3 linked regions of the Anolis sagrei genome follow. The protein of the gene in region 2 interacts with the protein of the main gene of each other region in a pairwise test. Links are inferred from orthologs where the notes say so. Each region holds a gene or a part of one and is shown on either strand. Other genes may lie near its edges. The genes, in order: DEUP1, ESRRG and NR0B1.

What was found.
Region 1: the proteins of ESRRG (region 2) and DEUP1 interact in binary tests that used the Homo sapiens proteins (3 or more experiments, as listed by UniProt). The two-hybrid records come from large-scale screens. The link is inferred for Anolis sagrei from reciprocal best matches to the Homo sapiens genes ESRRG and DEUP1.
Region 3: the proteins of ESRRG (region 2) and NR0B1 interact in binary tests that used the Homo sapiens proteins (3 or more experiments, as listed by UniProt). The link is inferred for Anolis sagrei from reciprocal best matches to the Homo sapiens genes ESRRG and NR0B1.

What each region holds. Positions count from the first base shown.
Region 1 is NC_090023.1:19,127,291-19,135,181, reverse strand, and holds the start of DEUP1 (deuterosome assembly protein 1), read right to left. Parts: upstream 3,056-7,891; 5' UTR 2,958-3,055; intron 1-2,957. UniProt on the Homo sapiens protein: Key structural component of the deuterosome, a structure that promotes de novo centriole amplification in multiciliated cells.
Region 2 is NC_090021.1:35,092,520-35,100,055, forward strand, and holds the start of ESRRG (estrogen-related receptor gamma), read right to left. Parts: upstream 3,078-7,536; 5' UTR 3,077-3,077; coding exon 2,918-3,076; intron 2,210-2,917; exon of another isoform or gene 2,079-2,209; intron 1,042-2,078; exon of another isoform or gene 954-1,041; intron 1-953. UniProt on the Homo sapiens protein: Orphan receptor that acts as a transcription activator in the absence of bound ligand. Binds specifically to an estrogen response element and activates reporter genes controlled by estrogen response elements.
Region 3 is NC_090023.1:83,341,035-83,349,094, reverse strand, and holds the start of NR0B1 (nuclear receptor subfamily 0 group B member 1), read right to left. Parts: upstream 3,012-8,060; 5' UTR 2,841-3,011; coding exon 2,099-2,840; intron 1-2,098. UniProt on the Homo sapiens protein: Nuclear receptor that lacks a DNA-binding domain and acts as a corepressor that inhibits the transcriptional activity of other nuclear receptors through heterodimeric interactions.

The sequences.
Region 1 (7,891 bases), on a different chromosome or scaffold from region 2:
TTTGTCTCTAGTATCTTTCCCTCCAGTGAGCAGTCGGGCTTTATTTCCTGGAGGATGGACTGGTTGGATCTTCTCGCAGTCCAAGGCACTCTCAGCACTTTCCTCCAACACCACAGCTCAAAAGCATCGATCTTCCTTCGCTCAGCCTTCCCTAAGGTCCAGCTCTCACATCCGTAGGTGACTACAGGGAATACCATGGCTTTGACTAGGCGGATCTTTGTTGCCAGTCTGATGTCTCTACTCTTCACTATTTTATCGAGACTGGACATTGCTCTCCTCCCAAGAAGTAAGCGTCTTCTGATTTCCTGGCTACAGTCTGCATCTGCAGTAATCTTTGTACCTAGAAATACAAAGTCTGTCACGGCCTCCACGGTTTCTCCCTCTATTTTCCAGTTGTCAATCATTCTTGTTGCCATAATCTTGGTTTTTTTGACGTTTAGCTGCAACCCGGCTTTTGCGCTTTCCTCTTTCACCTTGATTAGAAGCTCCTCAGCTCTTCCTCGCTTTCGGCCATCAGAGTGGTGTCATCTGCATATCTGAGGTTGTTAATGTTTCTTCCAGCAATTTTCACCCCAGCTTTGCATTCATCCAGCCCCGCACATCGCATGATGTGTTCTGCATACAAGTTAAAAAGGTTGGGTGAGAGGATGCAGCCTTGCCGTACGCCTTTCCCAATCTTGAACCAGTCTGTTGTTCCGTGGTCAGTTCTGACTGTTGCTACTTGGTCCTTGTACAGATTCCTCAGGAGAGAGACAAGGTGGCTTGGGATGCCCATCCCACTAAGAACTTGCCACAATTTATTATGATCCACACAGTCAAAGGCTTTAGAATAGTCAATGAAGCAGAAGTAGATGTTTTTCTGAAACTCCCTGCCTTTCTCCATTATCCAGCGGATATTGGCAATTTGGTCTCTCGTTCCTCTGCCTTTTCTAAACCCAACTTGAACATCTGGCAACTCTCGCTCCACGTATTGCTGGAGTCTTCCTTGCAGGATCTTGAGCATTACCTTACTGGCATGAGAAATAAGGGCCACTGTACGGAAGTTTGAAATAGTATAATAATAGTATACTAATAATAATAATAATAATAATAGGAAAATGTGAATGTCTCTTGGTACAGTTTGAGGAGCTTTTCCTTCAGCCCTCTCCTTTGTTAACATCACCAAGAGAAAGAAAGTAGGAAAAGAGTGCCTCTGAGCATAAAAAGAAAACTTTTCTTCACTGCTTATAAGAGGTCAATGAGAAAATGAAATAATTTTGTTATGGTGTCAGACCCGAATCAATGAGAAAGGAAGTGGAAAACGCGAATGCCTCTTCACACAGGCTGTGGGACCTTTCCTTCAGTTCCCTACCATAATGGGAGAGGGGAAAATATAAAAATAGGCCTTATCTACACTGCCACATATAATCCGGTTTCATAGGCCCCTTCCACACAGCTGTATAAAATCCCACATTATCTGCACTGAACTGAGTTATATGGCAGTATGGACTCAGATAAGCCAGTTCAAAGCAGATATTGTGGATTATCTACCTTGGTATTCTGGGTTATATGGCTGCGTGGAAGGGCCGTCAGTCGAGATTATTTGCTTTGAACTGGATTACATCGTAATGTAGACTCATATAATCCAAACTGGGTCTGCACTGCTATATAATCCAGTTACTCAATTCCAGATGTCTTGCTTTGAACTGGATTACATGGCAATATAGTGTCATATAACTCAGTTCAAAGCAGATAATGTGGATTCAGAAACTGGATTTGATGGCAGTGTAGATTAAGCGTCAACAAGAAGGGACGAGAGAAGAGTGAGGCCCCTTCTACACTGCCATATAACCCAGATTATAAAAGCAGATAATCCACATTATCTGCTTTGAATAGGATTATATGAGGCCCCTTCTACACTGCAATTACATAATTCATAGAATCTGCTTGGAGTGCCTTGGACTGCGAGAAGATCCAACCAGTCCATCCTCCAGGAAATAAAGCCCGACTGCTCATTGGAGGGAAAGATACTAGAGACAAAGTTGAAGTACTTTGGCCACATCATGAGGAGACAGGAAAGCCTAGAGAAGACAATTATGCTGGGGAAAGTGGAAGGCAAAAGGAAGAGGGGCCGACCAAGGGCAAGATGGATGGATGGTATCCTTGAAGTGACTGGACTGACCTTGAAGGAGCTGGGGGTGGTGACGGCCGACAGGGAGCTCTGGCGTGGGCTGGTCCGTGAGGTCACGAAGAGTCAGAGACGACTGAACAAATGAACAACAGAATCTGCTTTGAACTGGATTATATGGCAGTCTAGAGTCAGATAATCCTGTCCAAATCAGTTGGTGTGGATTATCCGATTTGATAATCTGGGTTATAGGGCAGTGTAGAAGAGACCTGAGTCTACACTGCCATATAATCCAGTTCAAATCAGATAATCCGGATTAGATATGGCAGTGCAGATCCAGCCTCATAAAATCCATGTTATCTGCTTTGAACTGGTTTATGTGGCAGCGTAGGGTCATATAATCCAGTTCAAAATAGACACTGGATTATCTGCTTTGATAATCTGGGGACCCTTCCACACAGCCCTGTATCCCAGGTAGGAAATCCCACATTATCTGAGTGTGGACTTGGGGCCCCTTCTACATTGCCATATAAAATCCAGAAATCTGCATTGAACTGGATTATGTGACAGCATAGTGTCATATAATCCAGTCCAAAGCAGATAATGTGGATTCAGAAACTGGATTTGATGGCAATGTAGATTAATCTGGTTCAAAGCAGATATTGTGGGATTTTCTGCCTGGATATTCTGGGATAGAGGGCTGTGTGGAAGGGCCCTCCCTGGGTTATAGGGCAGTGTAGAGGGGGCTTTCTTTCAGTAGTCTGTTGCAACTGGGAAACAGACAGGCAAAGAGTGCCTCTGAGCATAGGAAGGGATTCTTTGGAGCAGAGAAGGGGGGAAGGTGGGTTACCTGGCTGGGCTTCGAGGAAGGGCCTCTCTTCCCCGCCCTGTGGCCCTTCCGTGGGCTCCCTGCGGCTCTGCTCTTTCCCCACCGTGGGGCAAGGGGCCTCTCCCCTCCCTCCCTGCCTCCCTCCTCCCTCCCTGCTGCCCTTTGCTTGCTTCCCGCCGCCGAGCCCGCCTTTCCCACGGCGGCAATTCGGGGCGGGGCTTACAGGCGTCTCCCGTTGCCACGGCAACGCTGAGGCCTAGCTGGCAAAGCCTAGCAGGCAACTCTCCACTCATTGGCATGGCAGACCACCACTACAGCCCTCCCTCCAGGTGTTTTGGACTTCAACAGCCATTTGGGAATTGTGGGAGTTGAAGTTCAAAGCACCTGGAGGGCCCAAAGGAGTCCATGCCTAACTGTACACACAAGCACTGACTTTTCCCCACCTGCTTTCATAGAATCATAGAATCATAGACTCAAAGACTTGGAAGAGACCTCATGGGCCATCCAGTCCAACCCCCTGCCAAGAAGCAGGAATGTTGCATTCAAATCATCCCTGACAGATGGCCATCCAACCTCTGTTTAAAAGCTTCCAAAGAAGGAGCCTCCACCTCGCTCCGGGGCAGAGAGTTCCACTGCTGAACGGCTCTCACAGTCAGGAAGTTCTTCCTCATGTTCAGATGGAATCTCCTCTCTTGTAGTTTGAAGCCATTGTTCCGCGTCCTAGTCTCCAAGGAAGCAGAAAACAAGCTTGCTCCCTCCTCCCTGTGGCTTCCTTTCACATATTTATACATGGCTATCATATCTCCTCTCAGCCTTCTCTTCTTCAGGCTAAACATGCCCAGCTCCTTAAGGCGTTCCTCATAGGGCTTGTTCTCCAGACCCTTGATCATTTTAGTCGCCCTCCTCTGGACACATTCCAGCTTGTCAACATCTCTCTTCAATTGTGGTGCCCAGAATTGGACACAATATTCCAGGTGTGGTCTAACCAAAGCGGAATAGAGGGGTAGCATTACTTCCCTGGATCTAGACACTATACTCCTATTGATGCAGGCCAAAATCCCATTGGCTTTTTTTGCCGCCACATCACATTGTTGGCTCATGTTTAACTTGTTGTCCATGAGGACTCCAAGATCTTTTTCACACGTACTGCTCTCAAGCCAGGCATTCTCCATTCTGTATCTGTACACACAAGCACTGACATTTCCCCACCTGCTTTCTCGCAAGCCTATTAAGGGCCCTTCCACACAGCCCTATATCCCAGAATATAAAGGCAGAAAGACTGTCGCAACTCAGGGTAGTTTCTTCCTTGCTCAAGACACCACCACACACCAAGGCTGTAGGTTTATTGAGAAAAAGCAAAATCAAAACAGAGAAATAAGGACGCAAAAGTTCAATAGGCAAAACAGAGTCTTAAATGCAAAGGCAAAGTTTCCAAGATTCAAAGGTAAATAACATGAAGCATAATCCCTTAGCAATGGTCAAACAAAAGTCCATGGTACACAAATGAAATCAGGATCAAAATCCAAGTCTCAAAAAAGCCAGAAGCGTTCCGCAAAAGCCAAGGTAATTCCACAGAAGTTAACAGGGAAGGAGCAACATTGGACTGACAGAAAATGCCTGTCGGCTACACCATTAAATAAGTTTTCCTGACATGAAAGCATTGCGTTGACCTTTGGCTGCATACTTGCTGGCAAGATGAGTGCTTCTGCGAACTCTTAATGGTAAACGATCCTGTCTACTCATTAATTCACTATTATCTTCAAGGCTGGGCAACTCCTTATCTTGGCCCAGCTGGGTCTGATCACCCTGGGAACCAAAAGGAGTCAAAGGAGTCTCCACCTGCAGATGTGGAGTTTCACTGTCTTTCTCTAACGGCACATTCCTTTCTCCAGAGAACAGACTTGCTGTTTCTTCTTCAGAAGCCACACTATTAGCCCCGTCTGGAACATGTACAGAAATCTGAAACCCATCAGCCTCCTCGTCATCCTGCAGAAAGTCAGGCTCAGAAGGCCCAGCAGGCCCAGCATAAGGCCCAGACAGTTCAGACTCAGACTGAGCCACAACAAAGACGCAGACTGTGGACAGGAAAACAGAAGACGTTTACTTCTCAGGAGGAGAGCAATGACCAATCTCGATAAAATAGTGAAGAGTAAAGACAACACACTAGCAACGAAGATCTGCATAGTCAAAGCAATGGTATTCTCCATAGTAACCAATGGATATGCAGATGACACCACTTTGATGGCTGAAAGCAAGGAGGAACTGAGGAGCCTTCTAATCAAGGTGAAAGAAGAATGCGCAAAATTTGGGTTGCAGTTAAACATTTAAAAAACCAAGATTATGACAACAAGAATGATTGACAACTGGCAATTAGAGGGATAAAACGTCAAGGCCGTGACAAACTTTGTATTTCTAGGTGCAAAGATTACTGCAAACGGAGACTGCAGCCAGGAAATCAGGAGAAGCTTACTTCTTGGGAGGAGAGCAATGACCAATCTTGATAAAATAGTGAAGAGTAAAGACATCACACTGGCAACAAAGATCTGCATAGTTAAACCAATGGTATTCCCCATAGTCACCTACGGATGTGAGAGCTGGACTATAGGGAAGGCTGAGCAAAGGAAGATAGACGCTTCTGAACTGTGGTGTTGGAGGTAAATTCTGAGAGGATTTATAGTTCACCTACAATCAAAGAGCATTCTGAACAGCACCAACAATAGAACTGGGCCAAACTTGCCACACATAAACCCCATGACCAACAGAAAATACTGTGTTTTCTTATTGTCTTTGATGACCCCTTTGACACCCCCTCGCAACCCCCACAGGGGTCTTGGACCCCAGGTTGAGAAACGCTGCCCTAAATGGTTCCGGCCCAGCTTACCTGTTTGAACGTATCTCCCCCTATGAACCATCTTGGAGACTGAGATCATCTGGAGAGACCCTGCTCTCAGTCCCGCCTCCTTCGTAGGTGCTGTGCTGTTGCGCCTGGGGGCTATAATTCTTAATGAAGGAGGCATGGACGTGGCATCTTTCCCCAGGGGATTGCTTCTTGCCCTCCTATAAGAAACTGGAACTTTCAAAAACCCAAAACGCTGTAAATAACTCAAAATAAGTTTTATTGATCACAGAGTTGTTTCTTTAAAGCAATGAGCTGGAAACTTCAGAGGGTTGAAGGAAAATATATGTTACAATCTCAGTTAGTCTTGGGTCCAAGGTGTTTGAAGCTGAGAAGCCTTTCCAAGTTTCCTCTTTCCTCAATGGCTGTGAATGCCGGAGCAAACCACAACCCCAGTTCAAATGGCCTATGTTTGAAGACTCAGGATCTTCCTTTGGTGCCAAAAGAACCGGTTTGAAGGCGCTTGAGACTTCCAACGTCATTCAGGTTGGTCTGAACATGAATCACAAATCTCAAGGATAAAAAACCTCAGAACTGGTGCTGAGAGGTAATTTAAATCAGGGTCTTTTAGAGACAAGTCTCATACTCACGTCCATCTGGTAGAAACTCTGATGGCAGAATGAAAAGAAAGGAAGCACTCCCCTCCTGCAGGAAGAGGTGGAGCCATACAGTACTGATTGATAGCCATAAGTAACCAATACATGTTGTTGTTCATTTGTTCAGTCGTCTCCGACTTTTCGTGACCTCATGGACCAGGCCACGCCAGAGCTCTCTGTCGGCCGTCACCACCCCAGCTCCTTCAAGGTCAGTCCAGTCACTTCAAGGATGCCATCCATTCATCTTGCCCTTGGTCCATACAACTATACATAAGCAGGGTAAAAGGGGAGGATAAGCATGATACAACAGTTTAAATCTTGCAACTAACAGTTAAAATTAAAATTTAAAGCACATGGTAATAACAAACTTCACATTGGTTCATATGTGAGGTTTTGCTCCTTCATTGACACATCAAGAAATTATTGCGCAGTGAGGAAAACGGCAAACATATTTCGGTGGGCAAAACAGGATGAGATTATTTGACTTTTAGCCCCGTTTTTTTACCCAAAGACCACGCCAGACCTCATTATAACTCCCCCCACCACCCGCCAAGCCAATATCATCTTGGCACAATGCAGAAAAGGTCCTGTTCTCGATAAAAAGTGGAGCTTTGTTGAGGCAAAGCTCTCACCTGCATTCATTATCGAAAGATGTTTCAAGGAAATGCTCCTAAGCCCCTGTGGCTCAGGAATTATTCTGGCCAATGAAACAGAGGGCAGAGATAAGAAAAGTCGAAACCGCACCGCAGAAAGGGCCTACTGGGAATTCTTTTCAGCCGTGTAGATGAAAGCCTGAGAGGGAGAGAAATCTCACTTTTGAAGAAGAAAACATTTGCCTGTGTCATAAAAGCACAAAACTTGGTGGAAAAGCAGGCACAAAATGTTTCCCTTTTTTTTAAAAAAATGATGACCTGAGAATATTCTTTTCCGCTCTCTGTGGGTGGTTAATAGCTATCATCCCTCCTTCAGGATGCAAGGAGCCGGCATTAGGGCTTTACAGCTGAGACCTGCATAAAAATATTCTCTCTTGGGGCTTTCTCCTAGGAATGCGTTTGACTTTTGGGGTCTAGCCAGCTTCTGTAGTGTTTTTCGGGCTTCATGGAGGGGATAAGGTTCGAGTAGAGGAGGGAGAAGGCAGGCTTTCTTCTTGCCACTTCTGCAAATGATTCACTGCTGTGCTAAAGTAACAGGAGATGTGAGATACTCCAAAGCAGGGATGGAGAATCTTTTAAATCTCACAGCATCACTGCATTGGAGAGAGTCCAATCCTATTATCTAGGCTTGGGTGGTTTCATTCGTTAATTTCGTAATTCGGTATTAATTCATAGAATCATAGAATCAAAGAGTTGGAAGAGACCTCATGGGCCATCCAGTCCAACCCCCTGCCAAGAAGCAGGAATATTGCATTCAAATCACCCCTGACAGATGGCCATCCAGCCTCTGCTTAAAAGCATCCAAAGAAG
Region 2 (7,536 bases):
CAAAAGATCTCAGACAGGCCCCCACTCTAGCCGTTTTCAGAAGGAATTTAAAAACTTGGCTGTTCCGTTGTGCCTTCTCAGACTAGGAATCCCCACCCCAAGTCCTAGTAGCACCTTAGCATAACTAATTGTCGCTGCACACTGCACTTTTAATCCCACGTGCCTCCTGCCATTTCAGCACTTTTAACCCTTGTACCCCAGTGCGCCGGCCGAACCAGTTTTAATAATGTCTTGATGTACTGCTATTGTGGTTATTTTGCTTATTGTTTGATTTGCTTAGTTATTGTGGTGTTATGCTATTTTGTTTATTGCTGATTTGCTTGCTATTGTGATGTTATGCTCTCTATTGTATTGTTGTTTTGAGGCTTCGGCCTGTGTAAACCGCATCGAGTCCTTCGGGAGATGCTAGCGGGGTACAAATAAAGTTAATAATAATAATAATAATAATTGTAGGAGTTGAAGTAAAAAAAACCTGGAGGGCCAAAGTTTGCCCATGCTTAGTCTAAATGCACTGGGGAACCTGCATGTGGGAGGAAATCCTCAGCATCTTGAGTGAAACATGGCTAGGATGGAACTGTTCATACTTCATTTCTCTTTCCCATTTCTAAAGATCTGAGCAGAGTACGGGTGGAATGGGGGCTTGCTTTCTGCTGAGCTTCTGCACTTCCAAGTTTTGTAAACATGCAAGGCTGCCAGTGTTTGTCTTTGCATCACTCTGAGAGAGAGAGAGAAACATGCTCGGGAGCTGGAAAGAAAAGGCTGTGCACTTTGACCATGTTTATGCTGAAAAGGGGCCGCATGCCTGTTTGCAAACCTATGAGGATGCCTAAAGGCAAACAGGATGATGCCTGTTAATATTGGTCTGTTTTATTTGCGTCTCCAAAAAAGGAATAAGCAAGAGAAACTTTGTTGATCAGTGTTACCAGTATTAACTATTATTATCTGAATGCAAGTTTTATACAGTTCAAAGGCGTTTCTCCAAAATAACACTGTGGGACCGTCCAGCAAACTGAACTGTTCGGCAGTGCAAAGGAGCCAAAGGTATGTACAATAATTTGGATATTGGTCCCAATGAAGTCATTTCCAAATAGAGATACATTGGATTGGGCTATATCCCATTTAAATCTTTAAATATGTTGGCTTGTATTTGGTACATAAATATTTTTTTAAAATCTCTGAAGTATCTCTTCAGAGCCGCTGGTGGTGCAGCGGGTTAAACCGCTGAGATGCCGAACTTGCTGACTGAAAGGTCAGCAGTTCAAATCTGGGAGTGGGAGTGAGCTACTGCTGTTAGCGCCAGCTTCTGCCAACCTAGCACTTTGAAAACATTCAAATGTGTGTAGATCAATAGGTACTGCTTCTGCGGGAAGGTAACAGCACTCCATGCAGTCATGCTGGCCACATGACCTTTGAGGCGTCTACGGACAACACCGGCTCTTCAGCTTAGAAATGGAGATGAGCACCACCACCCAGACTAGACTTAATGTCAAGGGGAACTTCTACCTTTACTATGGAAAATTATCTAACCCTTTACCCAAGGTTCAGATCCTTGTTCAGCCATGGAACTCACTGGGGCAAGTCACACTCTCATAACCTCAGAGGGAGGCCATGGCAAAATCCCCTCTAAATGAATCTTTTGAAGAAAATTATACTACAAGTTCATCTTAGGGTTGCTGTAAGTCAGAAATGACTTGAATGCAAACAACAGAAACAACCCACAAATACTCCACCTCTGGCTCCTGCATGTTAAAGCTACTGACCTGCTTCACTTAATACAAACACACTTAATACATGGATGCCAGTCTCCAGACTAACAACAGACATTTTTTGAAAAACTGCAAAAATAAAGTAGGGTACAACTTTATTATAAAGCAACCTATGTTTATTTCACCTATTTGTGAAATATAATAAGTGTATAATAATTATTATTTACATTATTATTATTATTATTATTATTATCATACCCTGTGCCACTGAAAATAGTGCTATATACAAGAATGCAATAATTATTACAATTTTTTTTAAAAACCACTTTTTCACTAATTCAGCAGTTTGTATGTTTTTTCTCCTGAGTGAAGCACTCCGTGATACAAATGGCATCATCGTTCAGATCAAAACAAATCAGTGCTCACCTTCAGAATGCATTAATGCCATTCACAAACGGGAATACAACAGCTGTCTCCAAGTCTATTTGAAAGCTTTCACCAAAGTAAGATGACAGAATGGAAGACAAATATATGTATGTGCAGTAGACATGTTTGTGCTTCTTTGCTTTCCTGAGCAACTTCTAGCATTTAATACATTTATCCCACGAACAGTTGCGAGTCTGCTGCTTCTATGCAGACAAATATGCACATTCTTAGGGATACAAATACACACCGCAGAAGTTGATCTCATCACCAGAGAAAACCAGGTGGCAAAAGCTTAATTACCAGTAACATTATTCTGCCTATACTGGTAAATGTAGCCTCTAATTAAGATGTAAATTTTAGTTCTGAATGGTGGATTAAAAGCAATCTGACATGCATCCTATCCAACCATTCTTCGGATTCACTAAACAAGCTGAGGGAAAAGATTAAGCATGTATTCTAATAGTGTCAGAATCTAACATACCTTCCTACAAATATTTCAATTAATAAGAACTGTTTGTAGCAGATGTGCTTAATTTCCATATAACTTATATATCATTTATATCCAAAGTCTGGATATAACAATATTGAAGCATATTCGTATACCCATTGAGTATACTCTTTGAATTCATCTATTCATCCATCTATCTTCGCACCTAATAAATCACATTCAATTGAAAGTTTCCTGAAAGCATACTTTTGTCCAGGCTTCCTAGTCTAAAGCCTAGATAACAATATAAACAGAGAATATATAATATTAAACTATTAGAAAATTATTTAAAAATTACCTCATATTGTCTTACGATCATTGTAGTTAGCTGTGGACATTCTTTGGACGACTGTCTGCTCTTCTGCTCTGCTTTCCCATCTATTACGCTGCTCCACTGAATTCCTGCTGTCCTCTTTCCTGTCCATGTCATCTTATGCTCCCCCCTCCAACACGACATTAACTATTGCTATCTTTCTACCAGGCACCTTGGAAGCATCTGTCTCTGCTGATGCTGCTTAGAAGACCACAGCCGTAGTATTATAATTTATGCATTCATGAAAGGCAGTTGGCCTTCCCCCCTGGGATTCAAAATGTCACCTCCAGTAGACCTGGGCTTGAAATTTCAACTGTGTTTTTGAACTTCTCATGCCAGTTTTTTAACAAAAGGAGAAACATCACAGTATTATTACCATCCTTGTTCATCTGAAAACTGCTTGTTACGTTTCATGTACTATTGAACAGGAAGACTCGTGAAAATATAAACAAGGCAAACCCACAATTTTCACATTATCAAAAATACAAGGAGTATTCTCTTTTGCTAACACACACACACACACATACCCTTGCTAAGTCAAATGCTGCTGTGTATAAACTCACCTCATGGAGTCGGCACAAAGCGATAGTGAAAATCAGAGCTAGGAGGGTGAGAGACGCTGTCCTGAGTATTTGCACCAGGCAGTGAGTGCTCTTGAACAGTGTCTACATCTTCACATCTCCTCTGCATATTTCTGCGGATAATTATCCCCATGCAGAGTACTGTATATCTTTAAGCACCCTCACACTTAAGTGCTACAGACAGCTCATTGCGTCCAAATTGCCCGATTCTGAAGCCACAGCTACCTCAAGGCTACTGAAGTAAAGATTCAATGGCACTTTGCAGAAGCAGTACAATTAATTGTGCCAAGTGCAGAAAAAGACCACGGAAGAAAAATACAAAGGGGGGCTTGGGTCTACTATGAGGTTACTAGGCACTTGCTCAGTTGTACGCCAAGTTATTTAAAAATCATCATGTCCTCTCCTGTGTTTATTTATTTATTTTTCTCCTGCCTTCCTCCCCATACAGGCACTCAAGGCAGCTAACAGCAAACGTGATACAATACAAATTAAAAACAAAAAATGGATGTAAATATGAATATAAAACTAACAAACAATTAAATCTTGGTGTCATGAAGCATGAACACTAAAATACGATTGCTGTTAAAACCATACACACACCCAAATCCCATTCATACCATCCCTAGCAGTCTGCCCCTCAAAAACATGTATCCCTTCAGTGCCAACAAATCCTATCACCTTTTCAATTGAGTTTGAATTAAGTGCTGCAATTTTTTGTAATTCACCTTGTATTGTCTGACGTTCATTGTAAAAGGACCAAAGTAATAGATTTGTTTAGATATACCATAGTACCTGGACAGAAAAATGCCAGAGAATACAGGATTTAAAGAATTGGGAAGCGAAGGGTTGACTTCCAAGGGCCTGTCTTTGCAAATACACCAATTCCAAACTCTCTTAATTGAAAACAAATATCCTAAGAAGCCATTAAGACTCATACATGTTTGCTGTTTGTCTTTTCTACTTTTCCTCAGAAAGCTCGGCACATCCCTGGCTCCAATAAAATTCCCTCCACACGCACAGAAAGTGACAAGCTCACTCTCTGAATTTCTTTGCACGCTTATGTACACTTGAGCAAATGGTAGTAGATTACTACTTTAGAGCCCATCTGCTGCTTTCATTTATATTTAGCAGAAATAATGACCACCCTGCCTAGATTTTAGACAAGGCGCAATGTTAGAATATGCTTTTAAATACAAGCTGCAGATAAGCATACATGTGCGTGCCTATGCATGTGTGAGAGTGCACATGCACACACTTCATCTCCCTTTATTTCTAGGTAAATATATGCAAAAGTTCTTTTTTCCAAGTAAAACATCATACCAATAATTTTATCCTATCATTGCTATATGATAGATCCACCACAACAGGTATTCTGCATCCGTAATTCTTCAGACAATTTCTATTTAAATTAGTACTAGGGATGTATTAGAAACTGATAAACTATACCATTCTGTAAAGCGACATTTTGCTTGCTGATTTAAATTCTCTTTTCAAGAACATCAGTAGACACTTACAAGTACTATCTTAGTTTTTTTTTCCCCTTTTCTTTTTCTAAAACTGATGTATAACCCATAGCGGACTCTTTTCCTAACACATGTTTCCTTAGAGAACCCCACGGTGTTACTGTCTTAGAAAACGAAGGCAAAGATGACTGAGGGAATTCAGTCACTCTGTTTAATTAATACAGGATTATTTCACTTTCATTTTGCGGAGATAATAATACGACTGGCGGAATGTCAGTAAAAATTAAATCATAAACTAGTGGAGTGCCAAGGGGAAAGCTTACTTTGGTTATGGAGTATCCCCTGTAGAAATCTTGAAAAATCTTCTACATATTTACACTAGTAAAATACCACATGCTGTTCCATCGGATAGTGAAAGATTTCGAGAATCTGCATGACATGTATCACAGAGCACATTTTTCAGATTATACATTAATAAGAGAGTTGAAGGTGTGTTGTTTCCTGAATGTTAAGTCACCAAATGCTAAATGATAAAGTACACTCAAGGTCAGCATTGCATTTTGGACAATCTCGGTCACTGATGTTATGATAATCGCATCTAAAATATTCGTACAGAAAGCACAAAAAGATTATTATGATAAACAACAGTACGAAAGAAAAGCAATTCATATTGCTTTCTTTCCCTCACAATAAATTGCTACTCTTTATTGGGACAATGAGGCCACGTATTTTGTTTTAGCCACTTTTTCTTCTAGTTCCCTACATAATATTTTCAAAGAGATTGAGAGAAATCTGTTTAATGTGAAAGAAGTTGTTTGGGTCTTTCTTTCTTTTTAAAAGCCACTTTGTGGAAAGGATTTTTTAAAAGCCAGTATAATCATCCACCCTAAAATCAAATTAGGATATCTCACCAACTATGGGACAAGATCAGATGGCTCTTTTCCTCACCTCCTGTCTCTCCCCAGCTTCCTACCTAACTGGAAGCTCAGGGCACTAAAAATAGAAAAGAAGATGGAGTGCAAATATTTCCCCAGTGAAAACACCAATAATCTTTACTGTGAGCTGACACGAATTGCTTGTTACACTGCCCTAGGATATCATGGCCTGAAGCGACAGCACTCACAGACACACAAGCGCGCACACACACACACATTCAAAGGCACTAAGCATCTCAAAAGCTAAAGTAATGTGCATTTGTGTAGGTGCATTTTCAGCAGACCTATGAAATCGGACGTCTGGTTGATACACCTGCCATACAAAACCCATCATTTGTAGCCTTCTAGGTTTTAGTTTCCTCTAAACACCATGGCCCATCTTTCTCTCCCTATCAATTCACTTTTCTCAGGCATTTTTTTTTTGTTATTAATGTTATTGCTATTATTACTGTGCAAGCATAAGCTGATCCACAGGGGAGCCTGTGCAATTTAACCCCTGAAGCGCTAATTTTTTTTTTGCACATGTGCAAAGGCACAGGTTTGTTGTTGCCTCTAGCAATATCCCAGCAAGACGAGTGATGGCGGTGTCATATCATCACATAGTGACTTAATCTATTGCGACATCCAGGGAATGGGCAACTGAAAAAGATTTACAGGACATGTTTTTTAACTGCATACAAACACATTATCCCCATTTTTCAGTAACCCAGCCACAGTGGGATCACACCAGAACAAATTTCACCCGCCTTCATCTTCCAGTTCCACATATTAAGCCCTGTGTCATCTAACCTGCTTTTTTGACCAAGAATGTAACTCTAATAAAAGCATTTTTGTAACATCTTACTTTTTTATTCTTTTCATGTCTCGTGTTTAACAAGCAGTCAGAGCGCGATGAATCACTGAATAGGGCAGCCGTAGTAGTGAGATTGTCCATGCACTGAAGGAAAGAGTCTTCCTTCTATATCCTTTTCAAACTGTCTGATATTACTGGTATGTTTAACAACAACAACAACAACAACAACTTTGTATACTGCCCTATCTCCCCAAAGGGACTCAGGACAGTTTCCAACAAAAATGGCAAACAGTCAATGGCAGAATACACTAACAAAGAGAAATAAATAATCCCTCAGATCCCAAAAGAAAATTCATAATGATAATAAAATTAAAATAATGACAGATAAACCAAAATTAAGAAATAACATAAGCAATCAACCACTGCATATCTAACATTAAAACATGATACAAATTCAAAAACAACTTAGAGGCAGCTCTTTTTTAAGGCATAAAGGATGTGGTTTTCAACTTTGAATACTTAGCTGCAACAAATATTGACAAAAAGAAAAATCACCTGTACTGTGCAATGGTAAAACTGACATATACAACCTTATCAAATGAAGGCAGAGAAGCATCTTCTCCCTGCTTCTCTGTGCTGCTGGCATGGAGTCCCCTGGAGCTACTTCTGGCGGGACTCTGGGGTTCCACTGCCCGCATGGAGCCCCAACGGAAGTACCCTTGCAACATGCTGACCCAACTAGTTCAAAAAATGCACTTGAGTCGAAGAGGAAGTGGGGGACAGCGGGGAAACGTGGGAAGGCAGAGGACAGACCCTGATGGTAGGGAACAGC
Region 3 (8,060 bases), on a different chromosome or scaffold from region 2:
ATTTAATGCCATGTAAAATATACATATATAATAAAATAAATGCATATATTAAAACAATAATTAAGAACATATCAAACCTTAAAAACACTTGATAAAATCACGTAATCAATCCTATGGAATTCTGGGAGTTGTAGTTTTACAAACCATCTCTTCCAAAGAATGCTGCTGTCTCAGCAAACTACAAATCCCAGGACCCCATTGAATCGAGCCATGGTAGCTAAAGCAGTGTCAAACTGCATTCATTCTACCATATGATACACTGGATAAGAAACCTCCAAGGACTCCAGCTCAACTCCACTCTTGCAAACTCAGAACCAGGGGAGACTTTTAATTGAATCAATCCACCTGTAACAAAGTCTTCCTACTGTTCTCCACTTGACCGAGCAGTATTGCCTTAGGTAAATCAATTAGCATCGAGCATTGATTCCGTGGCACTGAGCCATGGCAGATAAAGCAGGGTCAAGCTGCAGGAATAGCAGGACTTGCCCAGGAGCTGCCTAAGGAGCAAAAGAAAATGGTCAGATGGGGGGGGGGGGAGGAAAGGGAGGGAGAGGGGAAGAAGTAGAAAGGGAGAAAGAGCAAGGGAGGGGAGAGACAGAGAAAAGGAGTAGAGGGAAAATGTGTTGTTCAAGGCTTTCATGGCTGGAATCACTGGGTTGTTGTGAGTTTTCTGAGCGGTATGGCCATGTTCCAGAAGCATTCTCTCCTGATATTTCGCTCACATCTATGGCAAGCATCCTCAGAGGTTGTGAGATTTGTTGGGAACAAGACATGTGGGGTTCATACACCTGTGGAATAATGTCCAGGATGGGAGAACTTGTGTCTTTTTGAAGCAGGTGTGAATGCTGCAATTAATCACCTTGATTAGCACTGAAAAGCCTTGCAGCATCAAGGATTGGCTGCTTTTGGCCTGGGGAATCATTTGTTGGGAGGTGATTAGCTGGCCCTGGTTGTTTCTTGTCTGGAATTCTCCTGTTTTTGAGTGTTCCTCTTTATTTACTGTTGTGATTTTAAAGGATTTTTTAAAATGCTGGTAACCAGATCTTGTTCATCTTCATGCTTTCCTTCTTTCTGTTAAAATTGTCCACATGCTTTGCAATGCTAATCAAGGTGATCACTTGCAGCATGCACAGTTGCCTCCAACAGACAAGAGTTCTTTCTCCCGCCCTGGACATTATTCCACAGATATATAAACCCCACTTGCCTCGTTTCCAACAAACAATGCAACCTCTGAGGATGCCTGCCGTAGATGCGGGTGAAATGTCAGGAGAGAATGCTTCTGGAACATGGCCATACAGCCCAGAAAACTCACAGCAACCCAATAGAGAAATAGAAGGAAATATGAGAAGGGGAGAGGGATAAGAGAGAAGAGAGGAAGACGGGGAGAGGGAGAAAGAGCAATGGAGGGGAGAGAGGGAGAAAAGGAGTAGAGGGAAAGAGGAGAAGGAGAGGGAGAAGAGCGGAAAACTGGAGAGGGAAAAGGAGCAAGGGAGGGAAGAGAGGGAGAAAAGGGGAGAGGGAGATGAGGGGAAGGCGAAGAGAGGGAAAAAGAGTGATGGAGGGAAGGAGAAAAGGAGTAGAGGGAAAGATGAGAAGAAGTGGAGAGGAAGGAGAGGGGGAAATGAGGAGAGGGAGAAAGAGGGAGGGGAGAAAGGACGAAAAGGAATAGATGGAAAGATGAGAAGAAGGGGGGAAGAGGGAAAAGAGTTAGAGAGTGGAGGAAGGCAAAAAAAAGGCTAGAAGTAAAGATGAGAAGAAGGGAAGAGGGAGAAAAGGGGAAGGTGGGGAGAGGGAGAAAGAGCGAGGGAGAGGAGAGAGGGGGAACAGGAGTAGAGGGAAAGATGAGAAGAAGAGGAGAAGGAGAAGAGAGGAAGGTGGGAAGTGGGAGAAAGAGCAATGGAGGGGAGAGAGGAGTAGAGGTAAGGAAGAGAAGAAGGGGAGAGGGAGAGAGAGGGAGTGAGTGAGGGGACGGGAGAAGGGGAGAGAGGAAGGAGAAAGGGAGGGGGGGAAAGAGAGGGGGAAGAAGTAGGCGGAGAGGTTGGGGGAGAGAACCCTGGACCCTTCCCCAAAAGCGTGCCCCCAGGGCTGCCCCACTGACCCGGGTTGAAGAGCACGGTGCCCTTGAGGTAGGCGTACTCCTTGGTGCTGATGTCCAGGCTCCAGCACTTGGCCAGGAAGCCTTGGATGGCTTGGATCTCCCCCGCCGAGGGCAGCTGGGGGCAGCGGGGCTCTGGGTCCTGGGGCGGGAGCCGCTCTTCCTCCTCCTCGTCGTCGCCGTCGCCCTGGTGGCGGTGGTGGCGGGGCTGGGCTTGGCCGGGCTTCTCCTGGGGCTGTCCGGGGTGTTGGTGGGGGCGCGGCTGGGTGGTGAGGATGCGCTGGAGCATGCTGGGCCGGGCGCTCTCCACGGTCTCGAAGTGGACGCGGTCCTGGGCCAGGCCGAGGGCGAGGAGCGGCGCCCAGCAGCTGCGCACCAGGACCAGTTGCTCGTCGAGCGGCAGCTCCTGGAAGCAGGGCACGCTCTTGACGAAGCGCAGCGTCTTCACCAGCACCGCCGAGGCCGCCTTGCAGGCCGCCTGGGGGCTCCGCAGGGCCACGCGCCGCCCGGCCCCGCACGAGCAGCCCGCCGCCCCGGCCCCTGGCCTCGCGGGGAGCGGCAGCGGAGGGGCCGGCAGCGGAGGGGGGCCCGCCAGCGCCTCCCCGCCTTGGCCCGCCGCCTCCCCCTCGCCCTCCCCCTCTTCCTTCTGGTGCTGGCGGTGCTCCTGGCTCTTGAGGATGTTGTAGAGGATGCTGCCCTGGCGCCGGTGGTCCGTGCAGCAGCGGCAGCGGTCCAGGCACGCCATGGCCGGCAAAGAGCGGGAAAGCCGCCTCGCCCGCACGCCCGCACGCCCGCCCTCGGGGCTATTTATAGCGCGCAGGAGTTCAAAGGCGCAGACGCTGCCGACTGGCTGGAAGGAAGGGACGGGGAGGAGGAGAGAAAGAGAGAGAAAGAGAGGGAGGGAGGGAAGGAGGGAAGAAGGAGAAGAAGAAAGCCCCCCCCACCAGGACTCCACCCTCTCCCCCCCCTCCCCTCCTTCTCGGGAGAGGAGGGCGTGTTGTCGCCGTCCCTTTCCAAATGCCCTCCCGCTTCTTCCGCCCGACCGTCCCACGTCGCGCGCTTTCCGCGAAGGGCTGAACGGGAGGGAGACCCACGCCAAGTTCAAGCGGCCGGAAAGAAGGAAGGAAGCGCCCCCTCCGGCTCCCCGCCACACCAAGGCGCTTCCGCCCAACGCTGCCTTCCGTGTCGGCGCGGAGTTGGCGCTTCTTCCAAGGCTTCCTTTGCAGCCTTTCCCTCGGTTGGATGGGGTGGGCAGGCGGGAAACGAACCCCTTTCTCATCTATATAAACAACAATGTAATGTTCGTTTGTGGGATTAACAAAACTCAAACACCACTGGACGAATTGACAAAAAAAATGATTTTCTCATTTGAGAGTTGTAGTTGTTGGTTTGGTGGGCATTGACCTTGAGTTTGGGTGTTATAGTTTACCTACATCCAGAGAGCACTGTGGACTCAAACAATGATGGATCTGGACCAAACTTGGCACGAATACTCCATATGCCCAAATATGAACACAGATGGAGTTTGGAGAAAATAGACCTTGACATTTGAGAGTCGTAGCTGCTGGGATTTATAGTTCACCTACAATCAAAGAGCATTCTGAACTGCACCAGCGACAGAATTGAACCAGTCTCTCCACACAGAATCCCCATGACCAACAGAAAATACTGTGTTTTCTGATGGTTTTGGTAACCTCTCTGGCACCCCTTTATGACCTCTGCAAGGATCCCACCCCCCAGGTTGAGAAATGCTGCCTTAAGGCCATCCAGCCCAACTCCCTTCACCAGGGCAAGAAAACATAAAGCCCTCTTGACAAAGAGCCATCCAGCCATAGATATAGATAGATAGATAGATACAATTCACACACACACACACATATTTGTATATGACAGATATAGTATCATAGATTTGACAGGGACCCCTAAAGAAGGACAATTATATGTTGCATGTTCCAGAGTAGGCAAACCAGACAATCTCTACATCAACACTGACAAAGAAACAAGAATAAATACTGTTTACCCACAAGCATAAAGAAATTACACATATTAGAAACCAACACTTTCTCGTTACTTTATTTTCCAGATCACCAAACTGGGCCACAGCAATGCCTGGCAGGGGATGGCTAGTGTGTGTGTGTGTGCATGTGGACAATTTCAACAGAAAGAAGGAAACCATGAAAATGGACAGAATCTGGCAACCAGTACAGTAGAGTCTTGCTTATTCAACATAAGCAGGCCAGCAGAATATTGGATAAGCGAAAATGTTGAATAATAAGGAGGGATTAAGGGAAAGCCTATTAAACATCAAATTACGTTATGGTTTTACAAATTAAGCACCAAAACATCATGTTTTACAACAAATTGGCAGAAAAAGCAGTTCAGTACACGGTAATGTTATGTAAACATCACTGTATTTATGAATTTAGCACCAAAACATCGTAATGTATTGAAACAGCTGTGGATCCAGGCGGAAGGCAAACTGCGTTGAATAATACGGAACCTTGGATGAGTGAAGGTTGGATAAGCGAAACTCTACTGTATTAAGAAACTCTAAAATCAGAACAGTAAATAAAGAACACTAAAAAAAACCAGGGGATTCCAGACAAGAATCAATCAGGACCAGCTAACATCACCAAACAAAGAATTCCTCCAGGCAGCAATCAGCCAGGCAAAGCTACTAAATGCTAATCAAGGTGGCCAATTGCAACATTCACACTTGCCTCAAGCAGACAAGAGTTCTTTCTTCTGCCCTGGACATTCCACAGGTGTATAAACCCCACTTGTCTAGACCCCTCAACTTCTGAGATTGGCTACTATAGATGTGAGCAAAACATCAGGAGAGAATGCTTCTGGAACATGGCTATACAGACTGGAAAACTCATAGCAACCCAGCCAGCAGGCTGTTAGGAATTGTGGGAGTTCTAGTCCAAAACACCTGGAGGACTGGACTTTGTCCATGCCTGTATTACATTACACCCAAGCAGTGTCCCTTCTCCGGAATAATAATAATAATAATAATAATAATAATAAGAAGAAGAAGAAGAAGAAGAAGAAGAAGAAGAAGAAGAACAGCAGTAGCAGTAGCAATAACAATAATTTATTTATAACCCACCCTATCTTCCCAATGGGGACTCAAGGCAGTTTCCAGAAGAAAACCAGCAAACATTCCATGCCGAAAGTGATCAACAAAACAAATCAAAACAACCAATAAATAGCATCAGTATAAACTTAATATATAAACTTAAAGGACAACTTGTTGTCCAATGCTTTCATGGCTGGAATCACTGGGTTGTTGTGAGTTTTCCAGTCTGTATGGCCGTTTTCCAGGAGCATTCTCTCCTGATGTTTCACCCACATCTATGGCAGGCATCCTCAGAGGTTGCGAGGTCTGTTGGAAACTAGGCAAGTGAGGTTTCTGTATCTATTTCTCCCACCCTGGATATTCCACAGATATATAAACCCCACTTGCCTTGTTTACAAGAGACCTCACACCTCTGAGGATGCCTGCCATAGATGTGGGCGAAACATCGGGAGAGAATGCTTCTGGAACATGGCCTTACAGCCGGGAAAATTCACAGCAACCCTTAAATGACAACCAAAGGCTAGATAGAGACACACAAACCTCATTATGCACATTTACATCAAAAGGATCTAAATCATTAAAGTGCAATTGAAAGTATAAAATGATAAGTGACGTTATATAAAATAATGTGATGATGATATCAACAGTCTAACAGCGCTAAAGTGCATTGCCAGAGTCTGAAGAAGAATTGCAAAATAGTCCCAAATTTTCCATAAGGAGACCTAAACAAGTTACATTTTTGCTTTCTCGTGGTGCAATGTATACTAATATTACTACTACTAATATTAACTTTATTTATATCTCCCCAAATGGACATGCAGCAGTTTGCAACAGATATTGGCAAACATTCAGTGCTGTAAGAAGCTGAAAAAAGACAAAAAATAACCAACTTCCCAAATCCCAAAAGCAAATCCACATCTACATCAAAAATAATAACACATTATCAAAAATTAGACAGTAAACATAATAAATGTACAATTGTACTAAAATATGATATACAGTTACCATCAGACAACATGTCTAGGGGTGGGTGAAAGGATAAACAAATGGGTATGCTTAGCCTTGTTTCCCATCTTTGAAGTAACTTATTAAGCATAAGCAAGTATTCCAAAATTAGGGGGGGGGGATCCTAAATGCACAACACTTGTGTTCCCAAACATTTCAGATAAAGAATGTTTAGTGTGTACCCACTATTTCATTGATTTGAATCTGCATGTGTAGAGAAAAGATATATTTTAAGCAGAAATCCAAGTAATCAGAGTATGAAGAGCAAGAGGTGGTGCAGGATATTCCCTAACCAGGAACATAACATATTCAGTATTTCTTTCTCTTGTTATTTATTATTTGCGAGCTTTTGCTTTTTTCTGTGTTGTAAAATGGGCAACAAATGAAAGCACCCAATACACATACACCACTGATGCAGGAGACAGTTTTTGATATGTTTTTCTTTCAGACAGCAGTGAAATTGAACCATCACAATTGTACAATATTTAGTACCAGTTTATCCTTATGAAAAGGAATAACAATGTTATTTTCATTTAACCAGGTCTTTGATCAAAATGGTAACTCTGTTTCACATCTACTTTCTTGATTTACACTTTAATTGAGTGTCTCCAGAAGTCATGGAAAGACATGTTTCAATAAGAATCCATTCTTGCTTTCCAGTTGCTCTCACTTCCAATCATGGTGGCTAAATAAACCTAATGTCTGAATGTGACAAAAGTTGACACTCAGTCATGTGATCCATGAGCGAGACAGAAAAACAAACCCTAGAAGAAAACCAACATTTCTCTGGTTTGTAGGAAGAGACCAAGCTAAGTAGTGCTTGAGTGCTTCCATTGGGAGGAGCTGTCCAAGGTACTGAACACTATCCCCAAAACAGGGTCAACATTTTGAACAGTTCCTTTAAAATTTTGGCCATAATCTGGAGCAAATTATTCTTGTTTCTTGTTTCTTTTCCTACAAGGCGTGTTTCTTTTCCTACAAGCCTAAGAAGGAATCCATGTTTTGTTGTGAATGGATTTAGTGCCAACACATGAATCAGACATTATATTTGCTCAAAATTCTGCAAAACAAAGTCTCGTCTCACAATTGTACATCACTACAACTACTTTTTATTCCTCACTAGTGTAAACAGCCATAGCCGGCACTGTCCAGGTGTCATTGGGACCTCTGCTTGCCTACTTTTCCCCTTCTCCAGCTTTGAGAGGGCCTATCTCACAATGGCAACATGAGGTTTTAGCTATGAAGTTTGCTAAAAAGACAGACATGCAGAGAAGTCCAGCAGATGTGGCACTTTCCAGTTGTGAACTCTGCTAAAGGAGACATCGGGTCCTTCTACACAGGGACATAATGCAGCTCAGATCTAGCATGGAAAATGCCAGTTCTGTCACACTGAGGCCACACATGGGGGTCTTGAGTTGTCTTGGTAGTTGTCTTTGGTATGGCTGGCCAGATAGCCAACCATACCAAAGTCAGGCTCCACCCACCTGCACTCTCTCCAGCTCTCCCTGGGTTCCTTTGGCTTGAGTTTAGAACCAGAAAAAAGGCTGCTACCATGCAGTAGGCATTTTACAAACTTGTATAGGGGAAAAATAGGGGTGCGTAGGGCAAGAAAGGCTGCCATCTCACCCTTTGACTGCCTTAACCCAGGGAGCATAGGACTCAGGATGACTGTTCCCACTACCCCAATACGAGTGAAGATATAAATCCTGGAGCAGGATTGGGATCTTTCCCCATTTTTTTAAAATCCAGGGTTCAGCCTCTTTAAGCGGCTTACCACTTAAATCTCAGACTGTATGTGTAGTCGAGAAGCATGAAAGCTAATGTGAATTGACACTGTATTATTTGACTCTATAGATGCACCCTGAGTTTTAATTGAAT